Neodiprion lecontei: one gene and its partner. The protein of the gene in region 1 interacts with the protein of each later gene in a biochemical or structural test. Links are inferred from orthologs where the notes say so. Each region holds a gene or a part of one and is shown in the gene's direction. Other genes may lie near its edges. The genes, in order: DNA topoisomerase I, mitochondrial; E3 ubiquitin-protein ligase Topors.

Evidence for each region.
Region 2: of the proteins of DNA topoisomerase I, mitochondrial (region 1) and E3 ubiquitin-protein ligase Topors, one has a biochemical effect on the other in vitro, tested with the Homo sapiens proteins (2 studies listed by BioGRID). The link is inferred for Neodiprion lecontei from reciprocal best matches to the Homo sapiens genes TOP1 and TOPORS.

Annotation. Positions count from the first base shown.
Region 1 is NC_060261.1:35,201,144-35,206,356, forward strand, and holds the start of DNA topoisomerase I, mitochondrial, read left to right. Parts: upstream 1-2,096; 5' UTR 2,097-2,220; coding exon 2,221-2,262; intron 2,263-2,570; coding exon 2,571-2,616; intron 2,617-3,138; coding exon 3,139-3,338; intron 3,339-3,423; coding exon 3,424-3,844; intron 3,845-3,968; coding exon 3,969-4,123; intron 4,124-4,286; coding exon 4,287-4,484; intron 4,485-4,692; coding exon 4,693-4,740; intron 4,741-5,213. Other genes in the region: mRNA cap guanine-N7 methyltransferase, read left to right, coding at 1-153, 212-393, 488-700, 764-969, 1,051-1,130. UniProt on the Homo sapiens protein: Releases the supercoiling and torsional tension of DNA introduced during the DNA replication and transcription by transiently cleaving and rejoining one strand of the DNA duplex.
Region 2 is NC_060260.1:41,194,067-41,201,052, forward strand, and holds E3 ubiquitin-protein ligase Topors, read left to right. Parts: upstream 1-1,863; 5' UTR 1,864-2,026; intron 2,027-2,115; exon of another isoform or gene 2,116-2,217; intron 2,218-2,419; 5' UTR 2,420-2,467; coding exon 2,468-2,904; intron 2,905-3,155; coding exon 3,156-3,383; intron 3,384-3,613; coding exon 3,614-3,888; intron 3,889-4,335; coding exon 4,336-4,494; intron 4,495-4,655; coding exon 4,656-4,869; intron 4,870-4,973; coding exon 4,974-6,216; 3' UTR 6,217-6,473; downstream 6,474-6,986. UniProt on the Homo sapiens protein: Functions as an E3 ubiquitin-protein ligase and as an E3 SUMO1-protein ligase. Probable tumor suppressor involved in cell growth, cell proliferation and apoptosis that regulates p53/TP53 stability through ubiquitin-dependent degradation.

The DNA of each region.
Region 1 (5,213 bases):
GCAAATATCACCCACTTAATTTGTGCGGACATAGCTGAGGTGTCCGTGGAGCAATGCCAGAGTCGCTACAATGATCTTTTGAACAGAAGTTCTAACAATCGAGGATTCGCACCAGTCTTTACTGCAGAATTCATTTCCGCCGACTGCACAAAGGTTCGTTCACGTAAATTCTTTTTCCTAGTTATTGACTGATAAAAACTTGTTATATCAGGTTAGACTGAGGGAAAAATACAAGGATGCCAGCTGTCAGCTCGATCTAGTGAGCTGTCAGTTTGCATTCCACTACAGCTTTGAGTCAGTACAGCAGGCTGAGTGCATGCTCAGGAATGCAGGCGAAAGCCTGAGGCCGGGAGGATATTTTATTGGCACTATACCTGATGCCTACGACCTCGTGTATGTAACAGAAGTACAAGTGTACAAATCGATTCTTCAGAAATGAAGGCTGTACATTGCTGATACTTCATTTTTCGTCTATGTCTATGCACAGATCTCGGTGGCAAAAGAGTGATACCAACAAGTTTGGAAATGACATATACAGTGTAGAGTTTCTATGCGAAGACAAAGTAAAACCTCCATTGTTTGGAGCCAAGTACAACTTTCATTTGGAAGAGGTTGTCAACTGTCCAGAATTTCTTGTACATCTACCAACTCTCGCAAAACTAGCTTTAAAATATGGTTTGGAGCTTGTTATGTTTGAAAGGTAAGAAATATATCTCATTCAAAGAGACATCGAAGCTAACATTAATATGCTTCTTCTGTACAGATTTGAGAACTTTTACGAAAGAATGAAAAGTGAGGGAAGGTCGTTGCTTGGCAAAATGCGAGCTCTCGAGACGTATCCTCCTTGTCACGAAGCTCCTCTTCTCGGTCAGAATCCCGAAGACTATCGGTATGCAGCACAGTATATGCAGAATTCAACTGGACACAGAAAAATTGGCACTCTTTCACTACCAGAATGGGAAGCGACATGTGAGTGACTTTAACATAGTCAATTTATGTATACAATAAAAATTTAATTTATCATCTTAAAATTCTTATCTTATATTACAGCTTTGTATGCCGTATTTGCTTTTCAAAAGATGAAAACAACGTGGAATGCAGAGGGAAAACCTGAGTACTTTAAAGTTTGAAGATAAATATGTAGGTATACCTATATTTCGCGGGGTTTACTGTCTACGCGACACAATAGGAATTATTTTATTATATTTAAATATCTATAGGCAACGAAATGTAATATTCCAAGGTTTACAATGTTTTTGTCTAATTGGCCCGTACTGGGAAGAAGCATAGACATATAACTTGGGAAGAAGGCTCAGAACAAGCCTAGCTAACCAATTGTTCATCATACTCTTATAACCACATAATTTATAAATTTAGATATCATCAACTAAATTTCTCAATTTTTTTGAATTTTTTTCACAATCAAGTGACAGAAGAACGTTATTGTTTGCCAATACCTGATCTGATCGTTTCTAATCTGTAATAAAATCCCGAAATTATATAGATATAATGAAATATCGCGGCTTAAAAATAATAAATTTTTCATACAATAAGAAAAAGCTCCAGCACGTTGTTTATTTATTGAGTGAACAAAATTCTATACACTTATAATAATCTAGCTGTACCATCAATGACTTATTTCAATGAATACCAATTAAAGGTATTATTGTATTAATGCGTGGTAAGTTGAATAATTTTTCACCTATGCAAGTGTGAGAGATTGGCGCGGCCGGTAACAACTATTTTCTTTTAAATTTTGAACAGATTATCGACTAATATAATAAGCATTAAAAATTCGGCTGATGAATTTGCCTAGGAAACGCTTGCATGAAACTACTAGCATCCGAAAAAAGTTCCAACCGTTCCTAATAAAATCCACTCATTTGCCCGGAAGGCAGCGAGCAGAGTCCAGGTAGAGGAGAGACAACTCAAAGGGGAGAAACAAAAATAAAAGTAAGAAGAAGAAAAGGCGAAACGGCCCATGTCCCGTGGCGAGTGGAGTTGAATCGAGGGCATTGGCACTCGGCCGAGTACCACCGAGGTTTGCCGAACTCATCCGGTGTGCTTCGAGAAGCGCATGCGCAGTTTTGCGTTTCGGGCACTTAGACGCTGCCAGGTTCATCCCGGCCGTTCGTCCGGTCTGTCTCCCAGAGCTCTTAGCGAGAGCATTGCGCGTAGTGTCGTCTGGTGTCGTTTATCTGTTGCGGTCGCACGTTACTAATGGATCTCGATCAGGCCACCTCCCAGCCAATATCCAACCCGGTAAGTGTCTACCATCCTCGTTTCCAATCTCTTGAACCGTCGTAGGTGCTCGGATTTTCCGATATATTGACCGTTGGGTCGGTTTTCTCTTGACAACCTCGACGAGAGACGCGAATTTTTCTAAGTCCCAAAATGGCGTCTGCGGCTAAGTCCCCACGTAGCACGATGTCACAAGATGTTGCGAGCAATCTACGGACCTTACGTTGCTATTTCGAACGTTCGTCGGCCCGCAGCTTGGCCTGTTCCGTACTGCAAACGTTCCTAAGCTCATGAAGTATTCTGATTATCTCATTCAGTTTCAATTTCAGGAGAAACGAGCCAAGGAGAACAGCAGTGCGGCCGGGAATCATGGAGGTAAGATTCCCGATCCTCTCACCCCTTTGCTACCCTCTACCTGGCTGCGATACCCCTTCCCCGCACTCCTGTTCCCTCAACTAGAATCTCATAGCACACTCCATCATATGTCTACGCCGCGTTCGTTCGTCGCGTGCATCACCTCTGCTCGTCCGTAAATCTCCCGTACTTACGTGTAACGGGTATCCCGGTTGCAGGAACTCCCCCTCCCTCCTTTTTTACGTATGCGAAAACCTGTCGATAGTTTCGGCTATTATCGAGAAATACAGGATTCTTTGTTCCTTGGCTCTTTCTGTTTACCAGTACCCTTATTTCTCATAAGTATTTCACTTTAAATAAACTCTGCCCCATTGACATTGATGTCTTCATTCTAATTTAAAGCTATTGTCAAGTTATGGTCATATCCTAAAACAATAGTATGCATCGCATATACCATATCTTGTTCCACTCTGGTTCCTACGATAAACCAATACCAGACTCTTATCAAAACATTGCTTCAGTGTGTTTTTTCTTCACTGTTAGATTCCCATTTAAATGGCATGTCCAATGGGTATGACCTCAAAAAAGAGCACAAATCTGAGCATAGGGACAAGGATAAAGAGCGCCCACAGAAATCCGAGCACAAAGATAAAGATAGAAGTAAGGACAAGGACAAAGAACGTAGTCACAAAAGCGAACATAGGGACAAGGATCGGCATAAGCACAGTTCGAGTTCCTCCAAGGTTGGTATTATTTTTTTTCCCTAGATTTTCACATACTTTGGTACCGCGTCATTGCAAATATTGATGTGTGACTTGAAAATTTCAGGATAAAGACAAGCATAGCAGCAGGGACAAAGACAAAATTAAGGAGTCAGAAAAAGAAAAGAAAAGTAGTTCTTCATCGAGCCGCGATAAAGATCATAAAAGTAGTTCAACTTCAAGCAAAGACAAGGACAGGGACCATCACAAATCAAGTTCCAGTTCTAAGGACAAGGAAAGTTCGCGAGAGAAGGAGAAGCACAAGTCGAGCTCAAGTTCTAGCTCTCGCGACAAGGATAAAACATCTTCAAAGGATAAGGACAAAGATAGAAAGCATTCTTCTGATAAAGACAAGGATAGGCATAGTTCGTCACATTCAACTACTGAAAAGGACAAGCATCGATCATCAGATAAAGACAAACATCGCCACGATAAGGACAAGGATAAAGATAAAGACAAGGATCGTCGTCGCCAAGACAAAGAAAGATGTAAAGAGTTATGAAATTAGTAGTTTGTAATTTTACGTTTTACATGTTGTTGAATCCTTTTTTGCATGGTCACACTTACCTTTTCTTTGCTCCTAGTTCTCACAAGTTGACAATAAATTTTCAGCTAAACACAGAGATGAGAAAAAAGATAAAAGCAAAGATGAGACAAAAGTTAAAGTGGAACCAAAAACTGAGCCTGAGTTGGTGCCTAAGATAGAACCAGTGGTGAACCAAGATTACCAGTATCAAGTTGACCCTGTCAAGCATCAGGTAAAAGAGGTAGCTGTTATTCAATGTTTTTGTAATAATTGGTGCTATTGATTTTTTTTATCTACGCGTAAAGTTTTTTTTTATAAAACCAGAGTTTATCGATGGTTTATGACTCACACATTTTATTGAAAAAATTTTAAATAATTATGCATTTTCATCATTGTTCACGCAGACGTTTGATGATGATGATGATGTCGATGACGATAGCGGCGGGGAGCAGACTCTTTACATTAAAGAGGAGGATGACGGTGAGGAAGAGTGGAACAAAGATGCAACTATGGATTCCACAGATGCTAATGACACAAGACTTTCTGATCTCCACAACACTACTATTAAAACTGAGGAGGAGTCTGAAGAGGATGTGCCTCTGGTAAATATTTATATCATATGCTATCCAGTTTCAATTTTAATACATCGTTACAATTTCAGCACTTCGGTATTTAGACAATATAAATTTGTCAGTAATATCACTAAGTTTCAAACGTTTCAATCAACTTAATCAGGGTTATGTATTAATTAACACAAAGTGACAGTAGTTTGGCCTCTTCCAAGATTTTCAATAGACTTGGTGTTTTCAGTGGAAAGATGGCCTTCACTCTGGCAACCGGAACAAACCATCCTTGGCGGTACGTCGTCAGGCATGGCACGTTGTTCGTTGTTGTACATTTCTGTGTGTTTTATTCTTGGTATTAAATATAGAGGATTTGATAGACGTGTTCTTTCCTCAATATTTCAATAACTAGATAACACTGAACTGATAATTCATTTTTTTTTTTTGTTCGTCCAGTTTGATGCTGCTCCGTCTTGTCAATTATTTATTTTTTTGTTTGCCAATCTGCTTGACATCTGTTTGACTAAATTTTTTTTGCTTCGTGATAGGTTTACCGGGAATGTTTTGAATTTTCGATTCAAAGGCTGTTCAATCTAACCTAAATTCACGAACTGGATTTTTTAAATAATAGAAATTTAATTCAGAATCTTAATAATAGCGTGGGAATTTCGTTTTCTAACCTAGAATTCCCCTTACAATATTCTCGCGAATTCTTCCCTATCCCAAAAACATTGGTTGCTGGCAGCAGTATATTCTAACATACTAATC
Region 2 (6,986 bases), on another chromosome or scaffold:
GGAAAACTTCGCGCAAAAACCTGTGATTGAAAATTCATCCTCATGTGGTATCCACTCAGCCACACCACAGCTACGTCCGTGAGCGCGCGTTTGCTCGGTATGTTTATGGAGCTTGCTTGGAATTCGCTGATGCTTCTCTGGAAGATTCAGTTCGAGAAAAAAAAAAAATTTCCCCCAACCACTTGCCCATTGCACATTTTGCATAAATGTTATCGAGCTGGCTTCGTATATTTTTCCATAGACTGCGTGCACAAATATTCGAGAATACCAGGCGTCACATATTTTCATATCAATAAAAAAATAATATGTATTAAAAAAAAAAAAAAAAGTATTCGGACTGGGAATAGTTAACTAATTTGGTTCAGCGTCCGCTAATTGATTCCAAGATTTATCAAATCTGGAGATACTTTTATTCGCTGACATTCATAACTGAAACAAAAAAAATCCCAATTCTTGCATTCCTGGAAACATCTGTGCGAGCGGGGACAAGGATGCGATTGGCAACCACTTGCTCGAGCAGCCGAGTGTATCTATATATACACGATTGTGGGCCACCTTCGGTGCATGGCCGCTTGATGTCAGGTCGGAAATGGGCCACCTTCGGTGCGTGGCCGCCTAGGTGTCACGTCGACGCTCCAACTTAGCTGGTATCACGAAAAGCCGAGCGTTGGAGATCTCCCTACTCATCTCTGCTAGTAGGGTGGGGGAATGACTCAGATAATGAGGCAAAACCGTGGTTCTCGTCTTCGCCGTCTGCAGCGCTGCCCCCTCGGGGTGAGCCAATTTTTTCGGAATCGACAATCCTGAATAACACTCAAAAATGAAGAAAGATGCGAATAAAAAATGATTGAGATGTTTACTAGCATTCCATGGCGGGCGTGATAATTGTTTTATTTTAACGAAATCCTCAAATGTTTAAGTCAATAAAATCCATAAACATCAAGCGAGGGCTCACAACTTTTGAGACAGTTTTAGATCTTGTGGAGATGATCCACCGTTTACACACTTTACACTGAGTTATGAACTGTCAAAAACTTCGATGCGCAGATTATTTTATCGGTATATATCTATATCTATCTAAATATAGAGGAACTAAAAAATAGGGAAAAAACGCGTACAATTTTTTAGTATACGAGCAGCGGTGAGTGTCAAGGGGCTGACCACGGTTTTATATACAGGTCTGGAAACTCCTATGCTGGGAGCCACGATTATTCGTGTCGCTTAACGAGTGCAAATTTCGATTCTAGCGGCACCACCAATTGTCGCTGCGGTCTAGTTACCAGGATAACAATAATCTCAATAAATACGATGAGTGAGCGTGAGTGAGCGAATACTCATATACATATATGCGAATACCACGGCCTTGTCTGGACCCCCGGCCCCGCCAACGCTGTTGATAAGATCGCAACGAACCTAGTGGCGACTAGTGAACACAGAAATTGCTTCAATAAGCGACATACCCCCTCCAATGGAGTTTCCAGACCTGTATGTAAGACCGTGGGGCTGACCGTGCTCACGGTGCTCACGATCGAATGTTAATACTGCGTTTCCATCGAACTTCAAATCGGTTGACTATCATGATGTGAGGACTGAAGTATGAAGAATCCACTAGATTTAGGGAATTCCTTAAATCATGGGAATTCTTAAAAGTCCATTGTTTGCATTGTTTTTAATTAAACGGTTGACATATTGCTTTATCGGCATGCATGTATGTAAATATGAATACAGTGAAATGCATAAATGCTTTAATCTTTCGGCTATCTTGTTTCGGTCTGAAACAAAATACGAGTTCAATTCCACACGAATCATGTGACCACGACTGGCAGTGCAGCTGGAGCACGGATGGTTGGCTGGTTAGTAATAACCAGTTAACGCCCTTGGTACAGCTGCGAGCTTTATGATCAAATTAGCCGATGATGGCAGTCGGTGCCTGCGTTGAGCCCTTTCATATCTCTGCTACTGATTGTAGTTTTAATTGTCAACGTAACTTGTCGCATTTCCTTCGGTGGTAGGCAACATTTTAACGGTGAGCGGATGTCATGTGATGCGTTACCTTTCGGCTATTCCACAGTTTTAATCACTTAACTTTTCCTCAGTCAAAGCTACTACTCAAGGGCAGCTTGATTGGGAGTTGAAATTTTCGTGGATTTAATTACGGCTTTGAATATTTATATTCTCTGCCTCGGAATCCAAAAGATTCTGCCTGTATTGATATAAGTAGGCAGTTACGCGTATAGTATCAACTGTGCTGTATACAATACCCTTTGTACATTACAGTATAAAGAGAGTAATCGTAAACAATATCTGTAGATATTTGCATTTCCATCATCCAGTACTGCGTATTTTTCAAATCAAGTAATTTATTGCTGGACCTATCCACACTTGGGTCATAATATCTTTAATTGTGTGCATAATACAGGAAAAGGTAATGCAAGGACCAATGGACCACGAAAAGAATTGACGCAAAATGGATGAAGAAATAGAAAGCATACGTGCGGCCGCCGCTGCTATTCCAAAGGGTCCGCTAAAGACGGAAGAAATATCTCCAAGTAGCCCAGACAATGAACCAAGCGAGCGAAGTGACGGCACCACGTCTCCTCCACCTAATTGCAGCATTTGCTTGGGCAAGCTCGTCAACAAATCTTTCACCGACAGCTGCTTGCATCAGTTTTGTTTCAGCTGCTTGTTAGAGTGGTCGAAAATAAAAACAGAATGCCCTCTGTGTAAACAAACTTTCAAATCCATCATACATAATGTTAGATCCGAGGGCGACTATGATCAATATCATGTTCCCCGTCAGTTTGTCTCACTGTCTGCGTCACAAATGGCTGCAACAGTGGATGTTCATTTTGATCTGGTCAGCAGTATAAACCTGCCGAGGGAAACACATGGATTTAGTTACCGGTAAGTTAGCTAAAGAGAGATTCTTCATTCTTGGTTGTCGGTTACTGGCAATGGCAGCTAATAATTTTGAAATCACAATCAAGCGTTCTGCACAGAAAAAACTTCATGTTCCTACAATATATTTAATATGGATATGATATGCTGCCAAAACAATAAGGCCTGGTTCCCGCTAGAAAACTATTTACATGTCGTTCAAGAACGTATTTATTTGAATGCTAGAAATCGTTTTTATTGACAACCTTCTGTTTTAGTACAACAATGACACCTAATCATCGATACCGAAATATCTTAAATCCCGAACAAGTTATGAGGAATGAACAACTACCTGCTGTTACGTCACTAGTTACTAGAGAGGAACGAAGACTGCGACGTACTAATCCTATTGACTATCGGCGCAATGTGTATCGTTTTGGACATTGGGCGACATCTCTACCAGACATATTTGGAAACTTTAGGGAATGCAGTGCTGAATACTATCGGTAAGTTACACTGCTTATGTTTCGCATTTTACTTGTATTATTTAAAATGAATTATTACAGTTTCAATTTTGAATTCCTACTTTTTCCTACCATTTATTTCCATGACTTCAAATCTGAAGATTATTTTAATTATTTAGATACAAAGTCCAAAATACTTAGTTTTGGAATTTTATTAAATTTCAATGTTTACCAGGATACTAAGACATGTGTTGTATTGATCTATTTTACAGGCGAAACCCAAACCAATTGAATCGATTGATTCCTTGGCTGAATCGCGAACTGCAAGTATTGCTTAACAACAATGCTCCGCAAATAAGTTACGTGATGCGTGTTATCATGGAATCTATCACACGGCATGACTTGAGAAGTTCCGACTTTCGAGACACAGTTCGTCCCTACTTTGCCATGCACACCGAGCACTTTGTCCATGAGCTACTCAACTACGCGCAGACCAGTTTTGACTTGATTGGTTATGATCAATATGTTACCTATGTTTCAAATCGTGGTTAGTATATTTGATTAAGGTTGCATGTTGCAAAATTGTCCGCCAATTAATGTCACCGGTTCATACCATTCAAATTCTATCTCTTCTTCCAACAAAATTTATACATTCTATAGTCACATAACTAAAAAGATTTTCAACTGAACAATTTTACTGTCGCATTCTTACCCAATTGATGTAGCTTTTTGTTGGACTTTAAAATCCGCTACATATCTGTAGCTATGGAAAACATCTCTTTGGTCACTGGATTATAGTCTTTCACGTCTTTCGGTGAATATCAAGGTGTAAAATTATTTTGAATAATAATGGCCATTTGGACTTCCGTATCAGAATTTAACTTGGCGAACAGAATAACCGATGAGGTCAAATTGTATACAATTTTCGTCGGAGAATAGTTGTGGAAATACCTGAATTGATTTTGGACATCCTCATATGTCATATGTGTCGCAGGTTTGTCCAACGAATATGTCCCTGTCGTATCATCACCCAGTTCTAGTAGCAGCAGCATATCTACTGATTCAGATGTTCAAGTTGTTGAAGAAACTATCGATGCAAGTCGGATGAATATTGAGATGCTCGGAATAGGTCCGCATACAGTCGAGATGCCTGGTATGTAGTCTAATACTAAGTACATACATAAGTATCTACCCTTGACTAACACAGTCTTTGGGAAACTCAATAATAATACATTTTTTCCTTGCCCATGCTTGCATATATTTTGTGATTTCATGTAATACTTTACTCTAATCTTGCATTTCCTCTCTCTCAAGGTCCAAGTACAGTAGCCGAAGCACTCCGAGAAACTGCACAAACTTCTAATATTGTATTGACAATTTCGTCAAGCTCATCAGGAATATCAGATAATGAATGTGAAGTTGTGGGGTATGTGAAGCCTCGGCATGAAAGAACACCAGAAGTTATCGATCTATTATCATCGGATGCTGACACAGTGAATGTGCCTGATGCTCCCAATTTAGACTATAGGTGAGTCTTGTGTCTCTTACGCCAATTGCTTAGAATTTTATATGAAATTTCCATTTTCTTAATGCTGAATATCTGCCTCGCTGATCATTGATACAATTTTTTAGCGAGCATACTAGACATAACTGTCAAGTTGTGACAAAACAATGTCCACCATTTGAAGATTGTATAGATCGGTCTCCTTTTGATTCGCCGAGTGTATCAACCTTAAGCGAAGTTAACGAGGCTACGACTTCTACGGATAGGAAAAGAAGCTCAACTCAAAATACTCTGGCATCCTTAAAACGATTTTCTGACACAACGACGTCGGAGAGTGATGATATCGATTCTAATCGGGATTATACTCCCTACAGCGGTAACGGATCAAAGAACAAAACAAAGAAGTCAATCATTGCCACAAGTCCTGTACATGGTCAAAAGTACAAGCGGGGTACGAATATGTTTGTTCGAATAAAGCGTCGTGTTAAAGCATTGATTTCAAGTAGCAGCGAATCTGAAGGCCGGATCATAGATGGAATGTTCAAACCCGTGTCAATATCACCAGAAAGTGACAAGAGAGAATATTCTTCAAGTTGGAATGATTCTAGTCCAGACCGGCACAAAAAACGTCAGGAAACAAAAGGTAAATCCAAATTAATGAAATCGGCAATATCCAATATGATAACAGTTCGTAAAGACTTAGTTAAAAAGGAAGAATGGTGCAGTGAAAATTGTGCAGAAAGCGATGCCTCTCAACGAAGCACCAGTATTCCCAAACATAGATCTTGTAGAAACAAGAAATGTGGATCGAAGAGATATCGTTCGATCAAGGATTCAGATTCCGAGCGAGAAGTAAAGAAGCGTGAAAGCGACGAATATAATTCTTTTGAAGACAATGGGATGTCAAGTAAAAAACTAACAGAAGCTAATTTTAAAGTCGACTACAGCACGACAGATTCTGAGAGGAATGTGTTGAATGGTCGCTCAAGTAGCTATTGCAGCGCACGGTCGAGTAAAGCATATGTTGGTAAGAAAAAATCAAAACACAAGGATAGACGAAAAGAAAAGGGAAGTCGCAAATCCGACAGCAAGACTGTTGCTGCTACTGTCACAGATTCATTCCAGGCCGATGACAATTGCACACCAAGTGTTTCAACGGCATCTGTAACTTCATCCATTAGAAGTGACACACTTCTTTCATCTAGATATGCCAGTTCTAAAAAACGTTCGAGTTCTAAGGAGAGACGTAGATCCCACAAAAAATACAAGGAATCCAGAAAGTCTCATAAACGATCTAAGAGCGAATCTAAATCAAGGTCCAAGAAAAAGAAACGCCGTATTAGATCGTCCTCCAGCTCTGACTCGGAATAAAACATGTATTAACAAATTTGTTCATTAACGTTCAGTTCTCTGTTCGTGCGCGGCAAGATTTAACTCTCACAAATCATGTCTAGATGAAATATCTTGTTGATAATAATTCCCAACGCTAGCGTGCGCTAGCAAAAATAGGACCTGCATAATTCATAGATATACGTTATGGAAATAATTGATTGAAGGGTGATCATAGAATACACAATTCACGAGAGTAATTGAACGTTTCTTACACCTATGTTCTATTTTTATTAAAGGCCCCCCCCCCACCCTCTTCTTTTTTATGCAGTAAATACGGACGAAAAAAAAAAAAAATACAACGATAACACGTTTTCGAATTGAATCATTTTTTTGCTCAGAATTGAATGAAAGAATTCCGTGAATCATAAAAAAATGTACGTTAAATTTTCGATACGTCAAAAAAATTTCTCACACTATTTCAAAGTCCTATTTGAAATATGTTTGAGCACACTTTTAGTACGTCGGAGCAACTTTTCTAATTAATTTTATTCCTGTTTTTTCGAGCCTTCCCGAATTCATTGTCAGTTTTGGCCTGTTAGTGATCCGTGGCCTTAAAGTTCAGTAGTAAACCATGCGTTTAAACTGTCGTAATTTCGTAAACGTACGTTAGTAATATTGAGTATAAGTAATGGCAATATTCAATACTTCTATTTTTCTAAGTGATACAAAAGTGATAAGCTCCCTGCTTTATTAATCGATGACGTGCGGCGACGAGACAGAATTATACAAACAGAAACGCATTCTCTTGA